Linked DNA regions of Drosophila melanogaster. The protein of the gene in region 2 purifies or fractionates together with the protein of the main gene of each other region. This does not show direct contact. Each region holds a gene or a part of one and is shown on either strand. Other genes may lie near its edges.

What was found. Proteins that work in one complex are often made in the same cells at the same time.
Region 1: the proteins of Pglym78 (region 2) and betaNACtes1 purify together in Drosophila melanogaster (affinity purification with mass spectrometry, with the first as the bait; one large-scale study listed by BioGRID). This does not show direct contact.
Region 3: the proteins of Pglym78 (region 2) and CG31343 purify together in Drosophila melanogaster (affinity purification with mass spectrometry, with the first as the bait; one large-scale study listed by BioGRID). This does not show direct contact.

Annotation. Positions count from the first base shown.
Region 1 is NC_004354.4:14,170,931-14,174,201, forward strand, and holds betaNACtes1 (Nascent-associated complex beta-subunit-like, testis 1), read right to left. Parts: upstream 1,695-3,271; 5' UTR 1,612-1,694; intron 1,558-1,611; 5' UTR 1,541-1,557; coding exon 755-1,540; 3' UTR 557-754; downstream 1-556. Other genes in the region: CG12480 (uncharacterized protein), read left to right, coding at 1-518.
Region 2 is NT_033777.3:29,146,698-29,150,438, reverse strand, and holds Pglym78 (phosphoglyceromutase 78), read right to left. Parts: upstream 2,192-3,741; 5' UTR 1,990-2,191; coding exon 1,887-1,989; intron 1,431-1,886; coding exon 933-1,430; intron 871-932; coding exon 704-870; 3' UTR 538-703; downstream 1-537. Other genes in the region: eIF2D (eukaryotic translation initiation factor 2D), read left to right, coding at 1-499; CG11882 (uncharacterized protein), read left to right, coding at 2,385-2,488, 2,559-3,246; CG14511 (uncharacterized protein), read left to right, coding at 3,638-3,741.
Region 3 is NT_033777.3:21,743,535-21,749,559, forward strand, and holds CG31343 (uncharacterized protein), read left to right. Parts: upstream 1-1,731; 5' UTR 1,732-1,770; coding exon 1,771-2,321; intron 2,322-2,651; coding exon 2,652-2,807; intron 2,808-2,939; coding exon 2,940-3,653; intron 3,654-3,855; coding exon 3,856-5,083; intron 5,084-5,153; coding exon 5,154-5,390; 3' UTR 5,391-5,469; downstream 5,470-6,025. Other genes in the region: CG5849 (uncharacterized protein), read left to right, coding at 1-453, 514-825.

The sequences.
Region 1 (3,271 bases), on a different chromosome or scaffold from region 2:
AGTTCATTCCCCAGGACGTTCAAGAGGCCCACTACAAGTACATTCAGGAGCAAGAGCAAGAGCAGGGAGCGGCTGTTCCCGGAGGAGATTCGAGCTCTTACCAGCCCGCTGAATACACTCCAGCTCAACTCAAAAAGTCGGTTGTAGCCTCAACCGCTGCCTCTGCTATTTCTGGGGCAGATTCCAGTTCCTATCAATCCGCCGTTTCCCAGACGAGCTACGTTAATAGCCAGGCCAAGACAATCGTGGCCGGATCGTCTAGCAGTTCCTACCAGAGCGCCCAACCCATCGCCGCCTATGTCCAGGGACAAACCCCAGTCGTCATTGGAGCGAACACGATCACACCTGCCCATCTGTACGAGGAACCCACATCGAATGGCATCGAGGAGTTCAATCCCGATACCCATGTGCCCGTGGCCATTGGTGCCGACACCATTACTCCTGCCCATTTGCAGGCCAGCTACTCCAAATCCGTCCAGGAGACCCAGTACGCGTCGAACGGCGGCTATATTTACTAAGACAAATAACTGAGAGCCACAGAGTCTAATATAATCTTAAATTTATAACTTTTTTTTATTTTGGAACTATAGATCATTAAAATTTCCATAAGTGTAGAGAAAACCAATGCTTTCAATAAACACCAAGAGATTAAAGTACAAATCTATAGAATATGGAACCTTTTTCTGTCTCAACTTTCTCAATTCATACGATTTATTTTTGAAATTGGTACAAATGTAGCAACAAATGAATATGCCTAATCTTCGTCCTCTGAGACCTGAACGCGATAAGTATTTGGATAGAGCTGCTCCGTCAAATAATAGTAATTGGAGTAGGAGGACAGGTAGATCGACTCCGTAGTGTCAACGTCCTCCTTGCCGTCGGAATCATCGCCGAAGCTTCCCAGCGAATCTTTGTCGCAGACTATGGTCCGATCCACATCAGACTCATCCGATGGCACCTTCTCATTATCCGGATCGCTGCCATCTTCAGAGGAGATCAAAATTGGTTTACCATTGCTAAGCTTCGGCTCCGAATCCCAGCCAGCCATGGCTGCGTCCTCTTTGTTTTTGGAGAGCATCATTTGGACCTTCTTGTTGCGAGGACGAACACGATTGCGCGGCTTCTTGGGCTTCTTGGCCACCTTAATGGACTCCTCTGATTCTGGCTTTTTGTCGGAAAAAGCTTCCGGCTTGGGTGGCTTAGGTGGCATGGGTGCCTTGGGCGCATTGGCTGCCTTGGCCACTTTCGATGGGCCAGCTGTTGACGACTTGCGCACGAAATCGCCACTAACCACGAAGAAAGAATTGCCAGCGGTGCTCTGAACCCTGGGCATGGTTAACACAACCTTACTGGAATTGGTGAACTCGATGGTCACCTCCTCGATTTCGTCGATATTCTTCAACGGCAACATGGCCAATGTGGCTTGCACGCGCTTCTCGGCCGCAGCCGAGGATGGGAATCTCTTATGCTTGCGGCGCATAGATCCTTTGCCGCCGATGCGCACCACCTCCTCCATTTTCTTCAGCTTCTTGAAATCCATTGTTTCGTTAGGAAAACCTATTAACTTGTATGGGTAAAGTGCGTGGAAAAGAATTCTCTTGAAATGCTCACCTTGAAAATGCTGTGCTTTACAAATTAATATATTAATTAATATAATATTAAGTAATATTCGCTTGGAGATGTGAATCAACTGAGGTCCTCACGCCAAATCAGAAATGTGACTTTTAGACTGCAAAGTCATCGTCTTTTTTTTTTGAGTTTTTGACACGTGCTAAAAGGGTTGCCAGAGCTTTGTCATGTCCTTGCAGATGGGAACTCTAGACTCGAATATATAAATATCTAGAGTAGATATTGTCGACATCGATTCTTAGGTGCAGATGACCGCACGTCGTGCCTCAAGTAATCAATTTTGCATTAAACATAAACATATAAATATTAACTTTTAACTATGCATGTTTTTTTATCATTTTTATGAAATATAGTTTTTATTGTGTATATTTTCTTTTTTCGGAAAATGTATGTTTTAAGTTAAAAAATTAATACTAACAATTCCAGATCGAAACTTTATTTTATTTATAAGTTGAAATATGAATGTACTTAATATATAAATATTAATTACTATTTTCCAACATTAATTACCTCTTGTTGAAAAGGATAACTGTTTGCAGTTCTCAGAATGGCCATGGTTAAGTTAAGTTATCACCAATGAACTCTGAAATTTCCATCACATTTTGCTTGGCATCGTCATGCTTGACATTTCCTGCCTTTTTTACACTTGAAGATAATTCATCAACGTGATCATAAATGAAATCGATATAAAAATGGATTTTAATTATTGACACAGGCGAATCACAGGCGAATCATATGTGAACGGGCTATAAATCGTCAATAGGTTACCCACCTTGCGAATATGATACATAGATAATCTTAAAAAATTACTCTTTATGTTTCTATGCTACAATGTTGCAAGAGAATCAATACGTTTGATGGATTTGAATATTAATTCAAAAATTGCAAAGGTCTTGCTAAAAATTTATTGAATTGTAAATTTCTGGCTGTGCTGCATTTCAAGTTCACGGACAGTGGAAAGACGCTCGAGATGTGGCAGCAAGTAAAAGTTGTTACTTATTATGTAAAGACCGCTGGGGAACTCGTAACTCTGGCGGCCGGCGTCTGTTCTCAAGGCCATCTTCTGTCGGTCTCCACTGATGGGTTTTGTGTGTTTATGGGTTTTTAGAAAGTGCGAGTGGGGCTCCGTTTTTCGAAACACGACGTTCTGTGGGGGCCATCAATCTGGGCGAGTGTCTCGAACGAGGCCAAATGGATCTCTTTTTGTGCGCCGGCCCATTTCTGCGGTTGAAACAAGAAAAATGGTTGCTCCGGTGTATAATGTGTTAAATTGAATGTTAATTAGTGGAACCCCCTTAGTTTTTTTCCCCCTTTTTTTTGGGCTTTGTGCGGCACAAACCCCCCCCCCCCCCCTCCCTCCCTCCATTCCCCTTGAGTCCGACGCTAATAAGCCAGATTGAAGAGACCACAAAAAGGTGTCCCAAAGTAGTTCACCCGCCGCAAACCCGTTGCGTGGATGGAAAAAAATATAATATCGTAAATGAGCCAAACCCGTTTGCATGTGCGATTTCGTTCGATTTTTATGTTGAATTTAATTTTAATGTGATTTTCCGTTTGGTAGTTTAGCCAGCCCCCTCCCTATATATGCTTTTTAACCTCCGCCCTGATTAGTGTTGCCATTTTAGCCATTTTATTGCCAAAA
Region 2 (3,741 bases):
GGCGGGTCAGATCAAGAAGATTGTGCGGGAGTACGTGAGCAAACATGGTCTCCTCCATCCGCTGACCAAGCTGGTGCGCCCCGACGACACTCTGATCGAGCTGTATGGTAACAGAGAGGTTTCGCTAAGCGAGATGTGCTCCCTCATCACCAGCAAGATGGAGCACTCCTACCAGATGTGCAGCGGCAAAGATACGAGCGGGAAGCCCCTCATCCAGATGTCCCTGGCCACGCGATCGGGCAACAAGAAGGTGACGCTGGTCAGCAACATCGAGGCGTACGGCATCATCCTGGCCGAGTTCATCAAGCTGTGCAAGCAGGGAGCCGCCGCCAGCACCAGTGTGGTGAAACTGCCGCACCAAAAGCACGAGCAGCTGCAAATCCAGGGCAACCAGGTGCGATTTGTGCACACGCTGCTCACGGAAACGTACAAGGTGCCGCCCAAGTGCATCCTGGGCCTGGAATTGGCCAAGGACGGCAAGAAGAATAAGAAGAAGTGAGCCGGACAATAAATGAAGCCTCCTCCGCCTGTCCTCTTGAGTGTAATAATAAATTATTTATTAACTGTAGTGGGGATGAACCAATTACTGCTACGCGAACAACAACAACGAATGGGATTGGCTACATCTTGAACAGAAGCGTAATCAGAATGCTCTGACTTGTGCCGTATTTGAGTGGATTCTCATGAGGTGTGGCCTGCGTGCTTACTTGGCCTTGCCCTGGGCGGCCACAGCCTCGATGGCCTTCTTCACGGTCTCCTCGTCGCCGAGGAACTGCATGGACACCACCGGCTTGAAGTTCTCGTCCAGCTCGTAGACGAACGGAATGCCCGTGGGCAGATTTAGGGCCATGATGGCGTCCTCAGAAAGGTCTGGATTGGACAAGGATATGGTAAAAAGATGATATGATATATGTTATGTCTCCCATGCTCACTGTCTAAATGCTTGACGATGCCACGGAGGCTGTTGCCGTGGGCAGCGATCAGGATGCGCTTGCCCTCCTTCATCTGGGGAATGATGACGTCGTTCCAGTAGGGCAGTGTGCGTTCGATGGTCAGCTTGAGGGACTCGAACTGGGGGAACTCCTCGGGCTTGGGACCCTCGGCGTAGCGGGGATCCTTGACGATGTTCTCGTAGTACGGATGGCCCGGCTCCATCGGTGGTGGCGGGGTGTCGAAGCTGCGACGCCAGATCTGCACCTGGGCCTCGCCGTACTTGGCGGCGGTCTCGGCCTTGTTCAGGCCAGTGAGTCCACCGTAGTGGCGCTCGTTCAGGCGCCAAGTCTTCTGGATGGGGATCTCCTTGTGGCCACTGGCCTTCAGGATGCTGGCCAGCGTCACCTGGGCGCGGGTCAGCACCGAGGTGTGGGCCACATCGAACTCCAGGCCGGCATCCTTGACGGCCTTGCCGGCGGCTAGGGCCTCCTCCTGACCTGTTTGGGCAAATGTTTAGCGAACATTAAGTATACGCCGTGTTGGGTAACGAACGTAAGCCAATTTAATCTAATTGAAAGGCATGCGTTTAATTTAATTTGATTACTAGGGTTAAAAAAAGGCGATAACCTATCAAATTATGCTCATAAGCATAATCTGAACTTTAGAAACATATGAGATGGCAAATTTTTGACTTTAAAGTGTAACAAACTAGAATTTTGATGCTTCTGAAAATTGCACTGGAAAGCTTTTGTTTGTAGAGACCTATTTTTATCACAGAAAAGTTTGAATGAGATAATGTTGCACTAGGTCAATGAAGATTAATTTGGGTAAATGAAAAGGAATACTATTGTGAAACTGATCAAAGCAAAGGATCATCGATTGGAAACTAGATGTACATCAGATTTTTAATCCCACATATGAGGTTTAAATTTCAAATTGATGTAATCACTCACCCTTTTCGCTGAGGTTGGCGTCGTACCAGCCGCAGAACTGATTCTTCTGGTTCCACTCGGACTCGCCGTGGCGCACCATCACGATCTTGTACTTGCCGCCCATTTTAGCTGCGTTGATCACTCTGCGGATAATTGTGTACTCGTTCTTAAGCTGCCGCCTTGCTGCGACTGCAATATGTGGGAATTCTGCTGAAGTTTGACCTACAAGGGAGCCGTCCAAGGTCGCAGCTGTCAGGCCGCGATATTGCCGTTCTGTTGGAAAAACGTAGTGCGCAGATGCGGTGCCTTCTCTGATTGGACTCCGGAGTATGGTCTTATTGGAATAGCGCGTCAAGCTACCTTCAAATGTCCAATTAGTTTGCGCTGTGCAACAGGTTGGCATCCCCCGCGCAGATGTTATCGCTCGCGTTTGTCATCACTATATTCGTGTTTTGGTTTTTAAATTTGGCTGTTTTTAAATTTTGCTCCCATAAATTCCAACTTTTTGTCACTTAAAGCATGTGCGAAAAGGTCACCGCGCGCTGCACTTGGCCCCAGCTGTCGGGCAACGGGCTGGACCAACTGGTGGCCACCCGCTTGTCCGACGAAGACGTCTTTGTGAAGTGAGACAAAGGATTCCACGCCCCGAAACTGGTTTTTATCAAGTAATTTTGAAACCTCCTTTGTCCGCAGGCCCGACTTGGACGACGTGATCGACGAGAATCGCGCCGTGCTGTTTTCCATGCAGTCGGCGGATCCGCCGCCGCCTTGTGAGCTGCGCTTCCAGATCCCGAACCGCTTCAAAATCGCCGCGCTCACCCTGATTTGCAGCGCTCCCAAGGTGGAGCTGTTCATTGGACCCTTGCAGGAGTACTGCGAGACCATCTACGGCACTTGCGTCGACGATGAGGACCCAGAGGTTGCGGTGCGACCCTATCGCTATGACATGGAAATCGACCGATCCGGGATAAATGACATAAACCTGAAGATGCTCACCTCGGCCAGCGAGATCTGCGTTTACGGAGCCCTGCTCCAGGTGGCGCCGAATCCCAACGGCATAACCACCCAGTTGCCCAGGCCAATGGATGCGCAGCGAATCCAAGAGCTGCTGCAAAGGGGTGGCACGAGTCCCTTGAAGAAGGAGGAGCAGGCCGAAAAGTTCGAGCAGTTCATGAGCCTGATGAAGGGCTATTCCCCGCAGGCGAAGGACCAAACCCAAGAGACTGCACCGCCTTCCACCGATGTTGCAATCCTCAAGGAGCACATCGACATGAGATTTGAGAAGCTGACGCTGTTAGTGTCTAAGAGACTGGACAACTTCGAGGCCCAGCAGACGGAAAAGTTAAACAAAATTATTGCCTTGCTGGAAAAGGAAAAATAAGTAATATACCATTAATTTGCTAATCTGTAATTTCTTTCTTAGCATTGTCATCATTGTATTTTGTAATTGTTGTAAAAGACTGTTGGTGCGAATATTTCGAATGTGATTAGGCAACATATTTAAGTTTGGTTTTGAATGTAATGTACATTAAATAAAATATTCTTCTCTTAAAATCATAAATTTTTTCTTTTTCGCTTGGAATATTTGAATTTCAACCACTTTCGATAGACCAACATCAGCTGTGCCCGAACCGAACTTTATCGATAACCACCTGTTGCATTTGTTTACGTTTTGTATGGCCGAAGAGAAAGTAAGTTGGCTTAAAAGCTCGTCATGGCCCAGATCGTAGGTTAAAGTTGGTGGGAATCGTCTACTTTCGTTGCGCGAGTTCATGAATTTATCCATCCGCGCTATTTCGGCCATCTGCGGCGTTTTCTTGGGCTGCTGCAGTGGCGTCGTCTTCTTGGAGCTCCTGGTTAAACTGGATCCCGGCGC
Region 3 (6,025 bases), 7.4 Mb from region 2:
GAATACACACGTCGCCTGGCTAAGGAGCATATAATCGATAAAATTTATTTTAAAGATGGATCAGACTACCATGCCATAATCGATTCCGTGTTATGCATGGGAGTTCGGTATCTAAGCGATCAGGACTTCCAAAGGATAATTGATATGATGCAGGAAATAGATCGAGCTTCGGTATACTATGATGACATTATATATGCCCTCCGGTGCACGCAGAGTCATCGGCATCTGTTATACTATCTGGAAGGTCTGATGGGTGAAAACTCCACCCATATGGTCCTTTCCGAATTCGAAGATTTGATGTATCTCCTCTACATATACAAGTCGAATCTGGCCTCTCGTCCGGTCATCTGGCAGTATATCGAGCGCAACTACAAGGTGCTCTGTCGAGCACCAAACTTTTTAGAGCACTTTAAACAGCTCGCTGGATTTGTGCCCAGACATCAGAGATCACATGTAATGAGTTTATATCTATTTCATATCCTACTCGTTTTGTTCACACATATCTCTTTTCAGTTTGAGAGGCTACGCCAGACAATTGCGAACCACATGATGCAGGAGGGTCTTAATACGAACCAAACGCTGATCGAGGTCGATTCTCCGCTGGTGGGCAAAAAGATGAAAATCACCGAAAATTTCCAGGACAAGTTCGAGCAGCAGATCCACAAATGGCTGCTCAATGAGCTTCCTCAGGCGACCAGCAGAAGTGATGCCCTTTTGTCCGCCTCCCTCAGCGCGGCCAATGGGTCAAGTCGTCCTCAAGGAGTCCTAAAGGAGGCGACTAGGGTGTTGCGCAGTGCGTTACGAATAGTAGATATGTATAGGTGACCAGACATTTGGTCTAACTAGGTATCACATAAGTACAGGCTTAATTACGAATAAATTAATTTTTTTCAAAACAAAACAATCGAGTCAATTCATTCAACAGCCAAGAGCTTTTCAACACATTCTAAATTAACTACAGACGTTATCGATTTGTCTGAAACGCCTCCGTGGGGAATTGATAAGCAAGTATAAAACACAAAAGTCATCGATAATAAAAACCCGATCAAATGACTATAACTTTTTTACGCAAAGACTAGTAATTATTTCTGGGTATTTCTGGCCATTAAAAAGCAATTTGAAAAATTTATAACAATTTTGGACATTCAATAAGTCGTATAAAAATATACAAAACTGAACAAAGCCATTACTTAAGTTTGTTAGTTTTTGTACAATGATTACTGAATATTAAAGCATACAAATTTGATATATTTAAAATGTAGCACCTCGTAAAATTAATTGATACTTATTAGCGTTTTTCACGAGTATTTATGACTGTTTTGATTATAGCACTATAACAACTTGCATTTTTTCGTACTTTCAAATACTTAGTCGTCCCAGACGAAGCCATAATTCAAAAATTTACTGCTCCTAATGATGAAACTAATAATAGGAATTTGATTAACAAAAAAGTAATGTTATCCTGCTTTATTTTGATAAGCGTTACGCTACTGAATAATTAAAATGTTACCGAGGGGATTTTTTACACTATAGAGTACCATCTTCAAAACTCTCGTAGACTAATTGTTTTACAGCCCAATCATACTTCACATTTGACTTGTCCCAGTGCACTCTGGGCCAATAACCGTGGCTTTGCCACGTTTTATCGAGAATTGCGCAACAATCTTTATGGCGATCGATGTTGAGGATTAGATATGGCCAAGTCCATAAAAATGCCGTGTTCAAGCGGCGGCCGCTCAATAACAAAGTGTCTTTTACCGAGCAGCCAACATGGCACGGTGGCTGCTTAACTCGTTTTCGCTGATCCTGCTCCTGGCAGTGTGCAGCCTACAGGCGCGCCTGATCCTTCCCTTATCCCTGGACGATGGACAGCTGGAGACCAAGGGAGCAGCCCTCTTTGCCACCTCCCGCGTGGATGATAATAGTGCCGGCAATTACCGACTGCCAAATACAACGGAACCGGAGTCCTACAACGTGGAACTCTGGACCAATGTCCATAATGGCGATACCGAATTCAATGGCACCGTCAATATCGATATCCGGGTTTTGAACGAGACATCGAATATTACGCTTCACTATCGCCAGACGTCGAATTTTGAAGCGACGATTATCAGCCGGGATGTGGCCACGCCCACGGCAATTCCACTCACTGTAACCCCCGAGTTGCAGCGCGAATTCCTCGTCCTTACGCAGACCACCGCTGGTGAGGCATTTGGAGCCAACACCAACTGGACCATCACCATCAACTACACTGGCATCCACCGATCTGATATGGGCGGTTTCTATATCTCCAGTTATACGGACGATGATGGCGAACAGCAGTAAGTTGATATTTTACGAAGACTATACAAAATAATACCATTATTTTATTATGAGCTTGCACAGCCTTTACCCTTTTACCTTTATAGAAAATTATACTTAGGTTAGCCTTCTAATGGATGAGGGAATAAATTGCAAAAGTACAAAAGCTTATCGTGCTATTAATTACAATTGTACCTGATTGAGTACTTGCGGCTAGTTTCATTTCTTATCAAGAGACACAATTTGGCTTATCTTTATAATCTGTTATTAGTACGATGATACGCGCTTACCAAATAAAGATTAATTATCGGTTTAACTGAGTCGTTAATGTATATAACAATTTCTTTCAGCTTCTTGGCCACCACGCAATTCGAGAGCACAAACGCCCGTCACGCGTTTCCCTGTTACGATGAGCCTGCCCGTAGAGCTAACTTTACGATTACCATCCACCATGATCCCTCCTACACTGCCATCAGCAATATGCCAGTAAACACCGCTGCCACCAGGTATGATTTACGAATATATATACAAGCATAGAGGAAACATTACTCATTCGCAGTGTTGACAATGCTAGATACAATTGCAATCGATACTTTTCATGTAAGAAATGCTAACATACTGACGGTTTCGCCTTCCAGCTCGGGAGTCACTGCTTTCCAGACGACGCCAAAGATGTCCACCTACCTGGTGGCCTTCATCGTCTCCGATTTTGAGTCCACCACCGGAGAACTGAATGGCATCCGCCAGCGGGTTTTCTCGCGCAAGGGAAAGCAGGATCAGCAGGAATGGGCCCTTTGGTCCGGATTGCTTGTGGAGTCCAGTCTGGCTAGCTACTTTGGGGTTCCCTTCGCCCTGCCCAAGCTAGATCAAGCTGGAATACCGGACTTCTCTGCCGGTGCCATGGAGAACTGGGGTCTGGCCACCTATCGTGAGCAGTACATGTGGTGGAACAAGCAGAACTCCACGATCAACCTGAAGACGAACATTGCCAATATTATTGGACACGAGTACGCGCACATGTGGTTCGGCGATTTGGTATCTATCAAATGGTGGACCTATCTGTGGCTCAAGGAGGGCTTTGCTACTCTCTTCTCGTACGAATCGAACGACATTGCTTTCCCACTGTGGGACACCTATCAGATCTTCCACGTGAACGACTACAACAGCGCTCTGCTTAACGACGCCCTGGCCTCGGCCGTTCCCATGACGCACTACGTTCAGACACCATCGGAGATCTCCAACAGGTATAACACCTTCTCGTACGCCAAGCCCGCCAGTGTTCTGTACATGTTCAAGAACGCTTGGACGGACAAGGTATTCCGCACTGGATTGAACAAATACCTGACCAAGAAGTGAGTACCAAGCCATTACTTAAATGACCTAATATATGAACTTCTAATGTATAGAGTATAGAATTTTGATTAATCAAAAGATCTAAAATATTTCAAGAACTTAAAAAGCTAACTTTATGATATACTCGTATATACTGGGCTTAAGAGCCCTCATTTTAATTTGAACAGTAATCTCACATTGGAATTATTTTGTTTCGCTCAGCCAATATACATCTTGCGACGAATGGGATCTATTTGCGTCCTTCCAGGAATCGGCCGACGAGCTGGGCTTTACGCTGCCCGCCAGTGTGGACGACATCTTCAGTAGCTGGTCCCACCAGGCTGGTTATCCCCTGCTCACAGTGACCCGTAATTACAATGCCGGCACTATAACGATCACCCAGAAGCGTTATGTGGCGAACAAAACTGATACAAATAGCGCAACTTGGTATGTGCCACTTAACTTTGCCACTGCCAACAAGTACGATTATCGTGACACGAGCGCCACACATTACTTGCTAAATGTGACGGAGACCGTGATCTCAGATGTCGAGGCTTCCAGCGATGACTGGATAATCGTGAATATCCAGAACTCCGGCTATTACCGCACCCTGTACGATACGCAGAACTATGGTCTAATTACGGCAGCTCTGAAGTCTCAGCCCTGGAGGTTCCATCCTCGTAACAGGGCACAACTGCTGTACGATACGTACATCTTTGTCAGCACCGATCGCCTGAGCCACAGCATCCTGCTGGAGCTGCTGGGTTACCTGACTAATGAGCAGCAGTATGCTCCTTGGTCCACTGCCAACACTATTCTGACCGTCTACGATCGTTACTTGCGTGGCGATGATTCTTACTACAACTTCCAAGATTTCGTGAAGCGCCTGATCGATCCCATCTTCGATAAAATCGGTGTAAACGAGATTCCCGGCGAGCATTATCTGAACAACTATCTGCGCATCGTGCTGGTCAGCTTGGCCTGCCAGGTGGGATCCGATGATTGCTATAACCAGTCGGCCAATAAATTATCCGAGTACCTATACAATGGCACAGCCATTGAGGCCACTCTAAAGACTCAAGCCTACTGTGCTGGTCTCCGATCGACTACCAATGAAATCTATAGCAGAGTGCAGTCCGATTTGCTCAGTTCCTCAGATTCCACCGATCGCAGCCTGTTCATCTCCTCGTTGGGCTGCTCTGGAAGTACGAGCCAGCTGCTTGATTTCTTGAGACTATCCCTGGACACCAACAATAGCTTGAGCTACTCGGAGCGCACTTCCCTTCTAAACTCGGCCTATTCCCGCAGTGAAATCGGTCTTACCGCTAGTTTGGAATTCCTGGAGAGCAACTGGGAGGCATATGCCAACCTTTCAGACTCTGCAAAGCCCCTGGATGCTGCCCTGCGTGGCATTGCCACCTATGTGGTCAGTGAGAAGCAAAAGACGAGGGTACGTTTTTTTTTTTTAATTTATAATTCAAAGCAGACTTTTAATTTACTATTTATTAATTATATGACAGCTTAACGCTTTGGTGGATGTTGTGGAGGCTGATGGACCGAGTTATATCAATGATGATCTGAGCACCACCATTGACTCCAGAATCACATCCAACTTCGCTTGGTTGGAAGTTAATCGTGATCCAGTGCTCAACTGGATCGAGGATTCCTTAAAAGAGAACGGCAGTCCCTCTCTGACCTCATCCATCACCACGATCCTGGTCAGTGCGATGGCTCTGTTGCTATTCAGGCTATATTAAGATAACTCACGTGGTCAAGTATTAAACATAAATTCAGTAAAGTGACGTAAATCAACAATAAAGATTGTGTGCTCATCATAGATCGAAAATAGAACTGATTATACTGTGGAATTTTCGGGCTGAATGGAGTCCCCTGGTGAGAAAAGTTCAAAGTTCCGCGGTTGGGAAACTTAACTGATCGGTTTATAGCTTGGTTGACACACATTTGCATTGGTCAATCTAATCGCGATTCTAGGAATGGCATCGATAAAGCACTGATAGTTGAGCTTAGTACGAAATTCGATTATCAAGTGGATATTTACAATGGCCTGAATGGTTTATGAAGTTCACGTGATCATATCAGATTGTGATTGGCAACTTTCAAGAACAATAAGCCATTTTATGGTTTTCAGTTTCTTAATCAATTTCAATGGTTTTACCATTTATTAGAAGATGTCTAGCTGTTGCATAGTATCGCACATATTGCTTAGTAATTCCGTATGGATTAATGGGCCTTTTCTTATCTCAAGAGCGAACTTGAACAGTCTATTATACCATAATAGTTAACAGGCGTGTATATTTCGCTATCATATCAGCACATATGATAAGTACACGAGAACTTCAGTTTCAATTATTATTGTTCAAGATCTTGTTTC